2 linked regions of the Arabidopsis thaliana genome follow. The protein of the gene in region 2 purifies or fractionates together with the protein of the main gene of each other region. This does not show direct contact. Each region holds a gene or a part of one and is shown on either strand. Other genes may lie near its edges.

Region 1 (7,367 bases), on a different chromosome or scaffold from region 2:
GATCGGTTTGGTATGCATGCACAAGTAGGGACGGTTAGAGATGCTGATTTACGGGTCAAGATTGTTGAAGAGAGAGCTCGTTTCGATAGTAACCCAAAGGATTTCCGTGACACTTACAAAACCGAGCAGGACAAGCTTCAAGACCAGATTTCAACTGCTAGGGCAAACCTTTCCTCGGTTCAGATTGATAGGGAATTGAAGGTGAAGATCTCTAGAGTTTGTTCAGAGCTCAATGTTGATGGGTTGAGAGGAGACATAGTGACTAACAGAGCAGCAAAAGCACTTGCAGCTCTCAAAGGAAAAGATCGAGTAACTCCAGATGATGTTGCAACCGTTATCCCTAACTGCTTAAGGCACCGTCTGAGGAAAGATCCACTGGAATCTATTGATTCAGGAGTTCTAGTTTCCGAGAAGTTCGCCGAGATTTTCAGCTGAATAGGAGATTCGATTCTGTGATCATTTTTCTTTAACTTTTTCTACTCTGTAAACGGTGAGAAGAACCAAAACTATAAACAGGCAAATCTGATTGAATATAGAGTCTATGCTTTATTCATTAAGTTGAGTTGTTCAAACTTCAAATCATAGACTCAATAGAACTCTGTTTATATTTGTGTAACTACATACAAACATTCCTGCATTGATTATGGCTATAAAGCTATCAGAAAACGTTGTCAGGATCAACTGTTACTATATCTTGAAACGCAGGTGATAACTTATTGATTAGAAGGACATAGCGTTTTGCCGGTTCTGGTAAAAGTGTGGAGCAACTTCTGTCAGCCAAGAAGGATTGATGGTGACGACATTCCGCATGTATTGACGCTCAGTTGAGACAATGGATTGGTAAACCACCCATTTTGGATTCACCCTGAAGATTGTATAAAGAGTATATATACCAAATAAGCTTTCACGTTCAAAAGAAAAAATCTTCAACTTTTAGATGTTATTGAGGTTTTTGCTAAATCCATAGCAACAAGATATACTACTAACCTGAATAATACAGATGACGGATGAATATAAACTTCTTCAGAGCCTCTAATGGTCTTGTATACTCCATTGCTGTGTGGCTAAAACATCGAAAAGAATTAAGATGATGAAAATCAGATTTCTTTATAGGGCTGAAAGGATGTGCAGAAAAAGAGAACTGAAATGGGTCACTTACTTCTAAACGGCATGCATTGGCAAAAAAACCTGCAGTCACAGCTTTTCTCACAGCCTGAAACAGTGTAACGTTAGAAACATGCAACCTTTTTTCAAATGAAGCAAAGTGCTACAGTTTCTTACCTCCATGTCTCCGTCACATGATTTCAAGGTGATGCCTAATCTCCGAGCAATCCGTTTGAGTTGATCTCTGATTTCAACTACTTTTTTCTGTGAAAGGAAACAAAAACAAATTAAATTGGAGAAGGGAAGATAAGGACTACTTGCCTGTTCTGTTATTATACGCACCATGGATTGGTAGTTGAGGAAATTCTTGTAACACCACTGTGTAGGCTTTTTCGACTCAAGAAACCCTTTGTATACATTCAGGAATGTGACATGGTCACCCTATATAGACAAGAACAATGATTTTACTCAGTCAAAAAAAGATTTTCAGAGATATAGTTAGCTCAAAGTTATATATCAATACATACCTCTGCGGCTGCAAATCTCAGTTTTGCTTCATCTTGTTCTTTCTGTACTCCCCGGGCAATGATCCAAACAGACTGCATAGAAACATATTCAAGATTGCATCTGTTAAGTTTCAAATCCCATAGTTCAAGTCGAAAGCAAATAATCACAAATTTGCAATATGTTCGGTTGTTCCTTATGTAAATAAAGAGAAGAAACTTTAAGCAAAGGAAAAAGGGGTAAAGAGCTTTTACTTGGACAGAGAGAACTGCAGCGATTGTAATGATCTCATGTGAACAACCAAGCTCACTTGAAGCCAAAATCATTTTTGATATCATTGGGTCCTAGCAAAAAATGACGAGCATGAGACATGTAATATGCAGAACAAACTGCAAATGAACATTACATTTTAGATATATAATAGCTCATGGTCAGGAAGAAAAAGTACCAGTGGAAGTTCTGCAACTTGGAATCCTGTTGGCGAAGTGAGTTTAGCATCATCATCGAGGATCTGAAGTGAATAAAGTACTTCAAGTGCTCGAATCATTGCTTCAGACGATGGAGGTGCAGGCCAATCGAAACCCAAGATATTATCTATGCCCAAAGCTTTTAGCTGAAAATACCAAAAAGATCAACAGAGTTTGAGAAATCTAGAAGCAAGAGCTTCCTCTCATCTGGATATTAATTACTTAATAGAAAAGGTGAAAAGAAAAAACTTGTGTGGTTTTGCGTAACGCCTCCCAACTTTTGAGTTCTTATAAAAAAAAACTAAATGACAAGAGTTGAGCAAGTCTAGTACCTGTATTACAGTAGAAACAAGATTCGACCTCTGCATCTCCGGTATGCCTTCTCCAGGCATTTGGTTGAGAAAATAATCTTCGGTGTAAAGCCTAGTTACCATAAAAATATCAGGAAGAGGATTAATGAGCACTAAACAACTATATCAGACGAAATTCTGTACTTTAATAAACGGATTGAGAGTTACCTGTAACACTTCCCAGGCCGAACTCGCCCAGCCCTACCAGACCTTTGCCTTGCAGATGCTTTTGATATTGGAGCCACCACAAGACTTTCGATATCTGAAATCTGTGAGGGTAAGAAATGTAAGTTGCTTTAGAAATGTCCAACATATTACAAAAGATGGAACTAAAAATATATAAACAAAAGAAATGGAGATGGACTTACTGGGTTATAGAACTTCTGCTTCGAGAAACCACTATCAATCACATAGACAACGCCCTGAATAAAGAAACGACACAGAAAGTTACTCTCAATGATGTATCAGCAATATCTGTATGAGAAATACATCTGTTCGTTCCATGGGATTTTGCAACAAAAAGACAGTAAAGAAGAATCCTTGCCTCTAGAGTCAATGAAGTTTCTGCAATATTTGTTGATAGTATAACTTTTCTCTTTCCTCTGGGAGTTGGAGTAAAGATCAATTCCTAATATAAAAAAGGAGAAAACAACATTTCGCCGTTTCAGTTATTCAAATACTCTCAAAAGTATGGTTTAGATTGTCTAGAGCCTTGCAACAAAATTAACCTGTTCTGATCGAGAAAGTCCTGAATATAATGGAAGAGGTAGCAGTCCTGAAAAAGATATGAATTGCATTATGGTGCTTAAAAACTGAAGGCAAATGCTAAAGTTGATCGACATGATCTTATTTATGTGTATATATTATACCTGAAGAATTCTTTTGATTGCTATGAGCTTCTTCTTCAAGAAGTTTAATAGCAGTTTCAATATCCTCTTGACCAGTAAGAAATACAAGAACATCCCCAGGTGGCTCCTGAACATAAGAAGAGACAATTTAAATACAAGAACATACCTGGAAAATAATATACTAAGTTTGAACACATTGAATGGTTATAAGAACATCAACTTAAAGTACCCGTTCATTAATCAACAGTATCGTTGAAACAACTGATCGGATATAATCTGATACAGGCTCCTCGACATAGTGAATTTTCACACTGAAGCCTCTGCCCTAAGAAATTTTGACCAAGAAAACAAAAATATTTAAATATCACATAGGAAAATAGGTTATCAGAGAATGATCTTACGCAAGAGAGTCACAATATACCTCAACAGATAAGATTGCAGGTTCCAACTTTGGTCCAGGGGTACTACCTTCTGGCGCATGGCGTTTTTTGCTACATAATTTAACATAATGTATAAGATTATATCGTACTAGTGATTCCAAGAGCCCTAAACTTCAGGAAAAAGAACTATAACCATTCGGTAAGATCAGAACCTGGAATTGAAGAAATTGGACATGGTTTTTGCTTCGATTGTGGCTGAAGATATAATCAGGCGTAGCTCAGGACGACGACGTTGTATCTGAAAATCAATAATAAATAGATGTTGCTGAAAGTACACTAACAATTAAGACTGTGTTTGACTGAGATACCTTTTTTAAGAGACCGAGTAAAATGTCAGTTGAAATAGATCTCTCATGAGCTTCATCTATCATAATAACACTGCACAATGACAAATAAGAAAAGGTTTTACCAACACGATTTACTCATAATCTGAACAGATTATACAGTGCAACAAAATCATTACCTATACTTTGTCAAGAGGGGATCCTCCATCATCTCTCGAATTAGTACCCCATCTGTGAGAAATTTTACACTAGTCACACCCTGTTGTAACCAAGCAAAAGATCTTGTAAGCATCATCAGAATACTCCATACATAAGAAAAAGTAGAAGAGCGTTAAGGAAAGAGTCTGACGGAAGTTGTATGATCTTCAAATCGAATAGTGTAGCCAACTTCCTCCCCAAGATTCACTCCCATTTCCTCGGCCACTCTCGCAGAAACCGCCTAAGCAAATTACAAAACAAAGCATATATGTGATCAAATATAAAAACTTGAGCTGAGATATCACTCTTCAAAGTTCAAACTTGAGTTGTAAGATTTTGTTTAGGGAGAGAAAACAAACCTGGACAGCTAAACGTCTTGGCTGTGTGCAAGCAATAACTCGGCCTCCTTCAGCCCACCCAGCTTCTTTCAGGTACTACAAAATATAATAAACAAAGCTATTGAGCTAAACAAGAAGACCTTGCTATTGATCGAATTGTAGTTTTCTCCAATTCTCCAACTTCCCCAACAGCTATTGAGCTAAATATTGCATGATTTTGCAAGATTTTGAGTAACTTTTATGCCTCTCTCTAGCTACATTGCAAATATATCAGCAAGTTACTATCACAATCCAAATTCGCAAGTCGCAACCTTTGACTCCTATCAAAATTTGCCTACTGGTCTAAGAACCTTGAAATTAGCAAAGCTAGGTGCTTTCCCCAAAAATATTAACGAAGAGCAAAGAATGAAGAAGAAACCTGAGGAATCTGAGTAGTTTTACCACTACCCGTCTCGCCAACGATAATGGTGGTAGCGTGATTCTCCACCAAATACAGAATCTCAGTTCTGTACTTGTACACTGGCAATCTCTGTCTTTGCTTCTCTATATTCGCATACCCATAGCTACAATTTCGACTAAGTTACAATAACAATCATCTGCTGAACAAGTAAGATCAAAGAGAAAGAGAAATTAGCATACCTAGAAGAAGAAGAGGATGCGAGATTGTTGGACATGAACACTATGCCTCCTTCTCCATCCTCTTCGAAACGAGGTTTCTCGGTCCCTGGTTTCCAAAACGCCATCTTTTCTTCGCCCAAGAGCTTTGCCTTCTTCAGTTATTTCAGTTTATGAGAAGGCTTTTTCTCTCTTATGTGCTTTTCGTTGTTAACGCCGATGGCGACACGGTTGCCGGCGATTAACAGGTTCGGGTCTAAATTTTAGGCATTTGGTTTAAATGATTTCGGTTCAATTTAAAAAAATCAATTTGGTTCGGTTTGATATCGGTTATATGTTCACCATTCCTTGGGATTATTTAATAATTAAAAGAAAATGTATCGTCTTGCTTCTTCTTCCCACACTACTCCACCACTCCATAACAAGCTCTCACCTTTTCTCCTCCGCCGTAATCTACGCCACCAAAGTCAACGACTTCACCGTCGGAATTGTCAGATCAGAGCAATGAGAGCTGTAATCCAAAGAGTCTCATCTTCCTCTGTTACGGTGGATGGTCGAATCGTATCGGAGATTGGTCCTGGTCTCTTGGTACTAATTGGAATCCATGAATCAGATACCGAGTCTGACGCTGATTACATGTATGCTTGTACAAAATGATGAATGCTTCCATTTAAATTTTCATTATAAAGTTTGCAGATTCTGAAGTTGAAACATGTTTATAGATGTCGAAAAGTTTTAAACATGAGATTATTCTCTAATGAAACCACTGGCAAAGGATGGGACCAAAATGTAAGTTTTGTTTCAATGAATTTGTTTTTCAAGTTATTTGAAAAAATGGAAATTTTGATGCTGTTTGTTGCAGGTAATGCAGAGGAATTATGGAGTTTTACTTGGTAATGATGCATCTCTTTATTATTCATATACCATTTGATTAGAGAAAGGTTTAGCTTGTGGTTTATGTACTGAGGTTTGTTTTCTTTGCTTGCCCTGGTCTTTGGATCATGTGTGTTAATACAGTTAGTCAATTCACATTATACGGATTCTTGAAAGGTAACAAACCAGATTTTCATGTCGCAATGCCACCTGATAAAGCGAAACCTTTTTACGCCTCTTTAGTTGAGAAATTCCAGAAAGCATATAATCCTGATGCTGTCAAAGGTCAAAACACACTCTCATTGATCTTTTCTTAATCAAAACTTCTCATTTTCTCTAGTCTTCTTGACTAAATTGGTTCTCTTTTTTAAAATACAGATGGTGTGTTTGGAGCTATGATGCAGGTAAGGAGATAACTCCTTTCAATAGCAAGGTTTGATTAGTATCTTGTGTGATTAAAACATGTTCTCTAATCATATTCAAAGGTCAATCTTGTAAACGATGGTCCGGTCACGATGCAGCTCGACTCACCTCAATCCACCAAGTAAGCCAAGATTGTTTTGCATAAACTTATCAGGCATGGATTTGTTACTAAAGCAAGTCTTGATATGTTCCATAAGTGAGAAAAAGGCATCAACAGAATCATAAGATCACTCATTTTGTATTGGCAAAACTATAGAATATATAAATTCATAATTCATTGATCTGTAACTCTTAATTCCTACATTACATTGTAACTTCTTTGCTTCTAATCCAATTGAAGTCTCTAGATTTGTTAAAATCTTGATTCCTAGATGCTTTAAGCTTTTGCCTTGAGTACCATTCCTGCAGTAAACAACACTTCTTTCCCAAACGGTAGAATCTCGATTTTCCTATAACAACCATTAAACTTTCGGTTGGACAAAGGAAAGCGGTATAGTATCTCGATTGCACAAAGAGAAAAAAAACTGAGAGTGAAAGAAACTGCAGCTTACTGATCTACTCGCTTTAGACTAGTAAATGCAGAGATGATACTACTGCATATCTCTGAAATAGAGTCTCCTTCGTGAGGGTCAGAGAATGTAAGCCGAGCCTGACGAATAGTTAAATACATTAGGAGGCCAAAAAAAGCTCTGAGAACGTGAAAGAAGAAACAAAGGTATTATTGTGTTACCAGAAAGGCATGGCCGATGAGGATCTGAACAATGTCAGGTCCTATCTTTTTAGTGATGTTCTTTGGATTTGTGCCATTTGAAAACGTCTTCAAGATCCCATTTAGTGTTTTCGAATCCTCTGCTTGAGGAACAGTTGTTCTTCGGGTACGTACAACAGGCTACAACATGAAAGAAATTTGGTCAGAGAGAGAA
Region 2 (4,175 bases):
TACGTATGATTTAAAAGTTTTCCTGGTAAATGATGGAAACTCCTGAAACGTGTTGTTACAGCTTGTCTACACAATAACTCATCAGAGCCATCTATGTCCTCTACCTCTCATGGTGCAACCCATCATTTGGAACTACGATCACGCTCTTCGACTGTACCCAACTCCTCATACGGTATTCATTTCTATATCAAATCCTGCACGAAACCCGCCTTATAACTAAGTATTGTTGTTGTTTCAAAACAGATAGTATTAGGTGACAAGAGTGAGCAAGAGGTTTGCAAATTTGGGGGAACAACATGTTTCAATCCAGGCTCTTTCTCAACTGATAGCACATTCGTAGCTTATCGACCTTCCACTCAAGAAGTCGAACTCTCTGCTTTGTGATTCTCCTTTTAAAATTCATCCCAGGAGATCAATTGAGTGCCATTTTTACCAGACAAGCCTGAGCTTAAAAGGTATACAGAAAGAGTGAAAAAAATACTTCATGCCCCATTCTTTGCTTCTCTGTTGTATACAAGTTGTATCCTTATAAATTAAGTATTCTTTTAGGATATGTCTTAAGGTAAACAAATAATAGTCATAAATTTATATCAGACAAGGGTCGATCTAAAGTAAAAAATGCATAAATTTAAATGCAAATTGCCATTATGATTAGGTCAAAAATACACATCCACTCAAATTATAGAAAAGCGCTTTCATTCAGACAAAATTGTAAAAGGTGACTGTGAGTGAGAAATCAAGAGAGCTTTCTGGAGAGGTTAATTAAGCCACTTCCAGTACACTTGAGTATAACAGTCCCAGTCAATGGATCAGGTTTGATGGCAAACTTAACTCCCAGAAACTCCTTAATGTTCCTCAACGTCTCCACTGCATATGGAGATAATGTTCCAACTCGAACCTTTGACACGTCTTGTTCAGATAACGCACACAGTAGAAACAACAATCCCTGTAAAAAACCTCAGAGAATCAACAACACACCCACTTAAAGTCTGATCGATCTTGGTGTCTATGGTTAATGTTTTCAAATTTTAAAACGTACCTGGTGTGTTGAATCAACAACTCCACCTTTTTCAATCTCTTGAAGAAGCCATGAAGCTACTTCAACTCCTGTGTCTTCTGCTGGCGATCTCTCTTTCTTCTCTACATCGAGCTCTCCAGTTTCGTCTGGTCTTTCACAAGACACTGTTGTATCTGCAGAGATGAAACATCCTGTAGTTGTTTCTGCTGCCAATGATATTCCGTATCCAGGAGATCTGCAATCACGTAGGTTTTTTTAAAAAGGTGAGCTTTAATCAATCAAGTATCTCTTGCTTTTGGTTTTAGTTAAGCTTCTTACTTTCCAGCCTGAGCGCCAGCTCTGTGATCTTGGAAAATGTGAACATCAGGCAAGAGATTGTTAAAGATACCACGAGCTGCGAATCTCATGGAATGTTCAAAGTCACTAGTCACTCTTGTAGAGAAAGTTGTACCACGTATCTTCTTCACCATTCCTTCTTCTACCCAATGAACCGCCTGAAGCAATAATATAACAGATAAGAAATCCATTTGAACCTTGCAATGCGGAAGAAGAAAAGAGAACAAGTACTACATACACTTAGAGTCTTAATATTTGGAACTGTTAAGAGAACTTCTCCACCTCCATTCGGAGCTACTCCACGGGCTTCGATTTTCAGCTCCAAATCTTCTGCAGGGACTCCAAAACGCTTTATGATATTCAAGGTAGTGGAACGGAATGTGTCAACGCTAGCGTCTCTTGGATCATTTGTAATTCCTGCAAGAGTTAAAATACTTGCTCACTCGATCATCAAATATCCACATGCTTTTGAAAGCAGTTTTACAGTAGAAGGTACATACCTTTGAGCCTAATCGAAAGAGGCTTCTTTCCAAACAATCCCAACAAAAGCAATGGCTCAAGATAATAGCCAATGGATCGACTCAGCGAGCAGCTGTGAACCAAGTTCTTCCCTCCCACTATAGTTCCAGGCTTGTACTTTAATCGAGTCCCTGCCAAATTCGCAACATACTAAAAAACTAACAAACCAATTCGAATTTTTAAAAATCATTTTCTTCTTCTACAAGTTTTGCTTTCAGAAACACAAACATGATTGGAATCGAAACCTAGCTGAAAGATACAAAATTTGAAGCCCTAAATTGGTGAAACTTTAGCTTCAGCTCAATATCATTCCTAAAATCAGTAAATCTGAAGTCATGAACCCTAAAATCAGGTGAAAGGTTACTTACCGGTCTCGTTAATATCAACGACGGCGTCGTCGGTGACAATTTCTAAGAGGCGGAGAAGATTAACCTCGTGAGGTCGGAGACCAGGAATCGTTTCGTCGGCACGAATCTCATCAATCGAGATAGGTGTTGAAGAAAGTGTTGAAAGAAGAAGTCTTTGTCTAAAGCTTTGGCTTCCCTTCATCTTCTTCATCATCACCATTTTTCTGTCTCTCTGTTTTCTCGGAAGATTTCTTAAACCCTAAATCCCAATGAGACCTTCTTCTTCACCATTCACTTTATGCGGCTTATTATTTTAATTTTCAGTTTTGGGCTTAACTTAATCGGGCCTCAGGCCCTTTAAGAGTTTTTTTTTCCTTCTTAACTTGAAATTATACTGTTGACTAAGAAGCAAAATATAGGGCCTGGCTGGTTTAAACGGAGTGGATGCGGTTACGGAAGTTTGCGGAAACCGGTGGTTGCGGTTTTAAGCGTTATCAAGCGTTTTGAACGACTGGATAAGCGTTTGATAATAGGTGCGTTTGCGGGAGTTTTATGACTGGTAAACCAGCGGGTGCGGTAATAATTAATAAAACTAAACAAAAACATATAATATATTACTATTAAAAAAAATAAAAATGCAATATATTATTATGATAAATTGATAATATTAGAAATTTTGATTTTTTGACCAAATAAAAATACAATATATCATCTCAAAAATTTGATAAAAGAAATAAAAATACAATATATCATCTCGTCTGATCAAATGATTTTCTAATCGAGAAAACAAATCGAAACATGTATTCAATTAAAAAACTCAAAAGAATACAAAATAAAAAAAAATGATGCTATGAAATACTCAAAGAATTACACTAGCTAATGAATAGATAAAGGGAAAGATGATATGTTTAATTCCTGATTTTGATTTTCATCAGTTTGGATGGATGCCATAATTGAGAGAATAGGGTTATATTGATTAGAATTTTCTAATAAAAATAAAATATAAAAGAACTAGATTATTTTAATTATAGTGATTGGGCTTTGGGTGGAAGCCAAAATTATTTTAATTAATTAAAAAAAGATTTTTTTTTCTTTTTAACCTAACCGCTTCCACCCGCAACCGCAAACGCTTGCGGAAATGAGCTTTTGAAATCTGACGATTTCGAGCGGTCCAAAGTGGTATCTAACCGTTTCTATGATTGGTATTAATCGTTACCAACCGCTACCACCCACAAACGATGTGGGTGGCAGAGGGAAAACCAATCAAGCCCATAATCATAACATTGTATAGAAATTATTTACAGAAAATAATATCTTCATATCAACGACGAAAAATGATTAAATTCACGGTTTAATTTGTGGTAATGGATATTAGATACTTGAAATATTAAAATAAAAACGCCGAATTAATAACCAAGAAAATAGTATCATTGATTGAACTTAAAGATCATTTAGTGATTGCCCACCAAATTTTCTCTGTAGATTTTATGCTACCTTCAAAAAGTAGTTCACACCAATAAAATTACGACAGCTAGATAAAACTTTAATGTAACTTCTTTTTTTGACAGCAAAACTGTTCATAAAACTTTTAGTAACCTGAATTATGTGAAAGAAAAAAAAACTATATATCAACATACCACTTATTAAGAAAAAAAAACTGACCTCTTATAATAAAGTGATCAAACTTTTTCGCCACATCGCTACAAATTGTTGTAGTTTGTTTTTGTCTTTAATTTATTGACAAAATTCTTTATTTTAATGTGAACTATTTTCTTTGTGTTGCAACTCACATTTCTATACAATAATAATTGGATTAAATGTCAAAATAAATATGATTTGATCGAAAGCATAATTGGGCCTTCCCATTTGTTAAAAATTCTTATGTTCATCCATACCTCATTTTAAGCAAAATAAATGTTTCTAAAAATGCTTTAGGCTTTAGCTTTTTTTTTTTT

The links. The genes of interacting proteins can lie anywhere in the genome.
Region 1: the proteins of AT5G22100 (region 2) and AT4G18465 fractionate together in Arabidopsis thaliana (co-fractionation; one large-scale study listed by BioGRID). This does not show direct contact.

What each region holds. Positions count from the first base shown.
Region 1 is NC_003075.7:10,194,965-10,202,331, reverse strand, and holds AT4G18465 (RNA helicase family protein), read right to left. Parts: upstream 5,379-7,367; 5' UTR 5,277-5,378; coding exon 5,173-5,276; intron 5,097-5,172; coding exon 4,952-5,096; intron 4,630-4,951; coding exon 4,555-4,629; intron 4,437-4,554; coding exon 4,347-4,436; intron 4,257-4,346; coding exon 4,177-4,256; intron 4,092-4,176; coding exon 4,022-4,091; intron 3,952-4,021; coding exon 3,866-3,951; intron 3,765-3,865; coding exon 3,695-3,764; intron 3,599-3,694; coding exon 3,503-3,598; intron 3,401-3,502; coding exon 3,295-3,400; intron 3,201-3,294; coding exon 3,154-3,200; intron 3,054-3,153; coding exon 2,970-3,053; intron 2,848-2,969; coding exon 2,794-2,847; intron 2,695-2,793; coding exon 2,594-2,694; intron 2,499-2,593; coding exon 2,408-2,498; intron 2,222-2,407; coding exon 2,057-2,221; intron 1,953-2,056; coding exon 1,863-1,952; intron 1,704-1,862; coding exon 1,632-1,703; intron 1,546-1,631; coding exon 1,447-1,545; intron 1,369-1,446; and 9 more. Other genes in the region: CHLI1 (P-loop containing nucleoside triphosphate hydrolases superfamily protein), read left to right, coding at 1-435; AT4G18460 (D-Tyr-tRNA(Tyr) deacylase family protein), read left to right, coding at 5,653-5,786, 5,871-5,937, 6,011-6,041, 6,166-6,306, 6,400-6,425, 6,507-6,569; SNI1 (negative regulator of systemic acquired resistance (SNI1)), read right to left, coding at 6,821-6,893, 6,996-7,093, 7,175-7,333. UniProt on the Arabidopsis thaliana protein: May be involved in pre-mRNA splicing.
Region 2 is NC_003076.8:7,327,280-7,331,454, reverse strand, and holds AT5G22100 (RNA cyclase family protein), read right to left. Parts: upstream 2,586-4,175; 5' UTR 2,441-2,585; coding exon 2,242-2,440; intron 2,005-2,241; coding exon 1,855-2,004; intron 1,772-1,854; coding exon 1,593-1,771; intron 1,513-1,592; coding exon 1,337-1,512; intron 1,254-1,336; coding exon 1,040-1,253; intron 947-1,039; coding exon 737-946; 3' UTR 525-736; downstream 1-524. Other genes in the region: DPB2 (DNA polymerase epsilon subunit B2), read left to right, coding at 62-172, 244-384. UniProt on the Arabidopsis thaliana protein: Does not have cyclase activity. Plays a role in 40S-ribosomal-subunit biogenesis in the early pre-rRNA processing steps at sites A0, A1 and A2 that are required for proper maturation of the 18S RNA.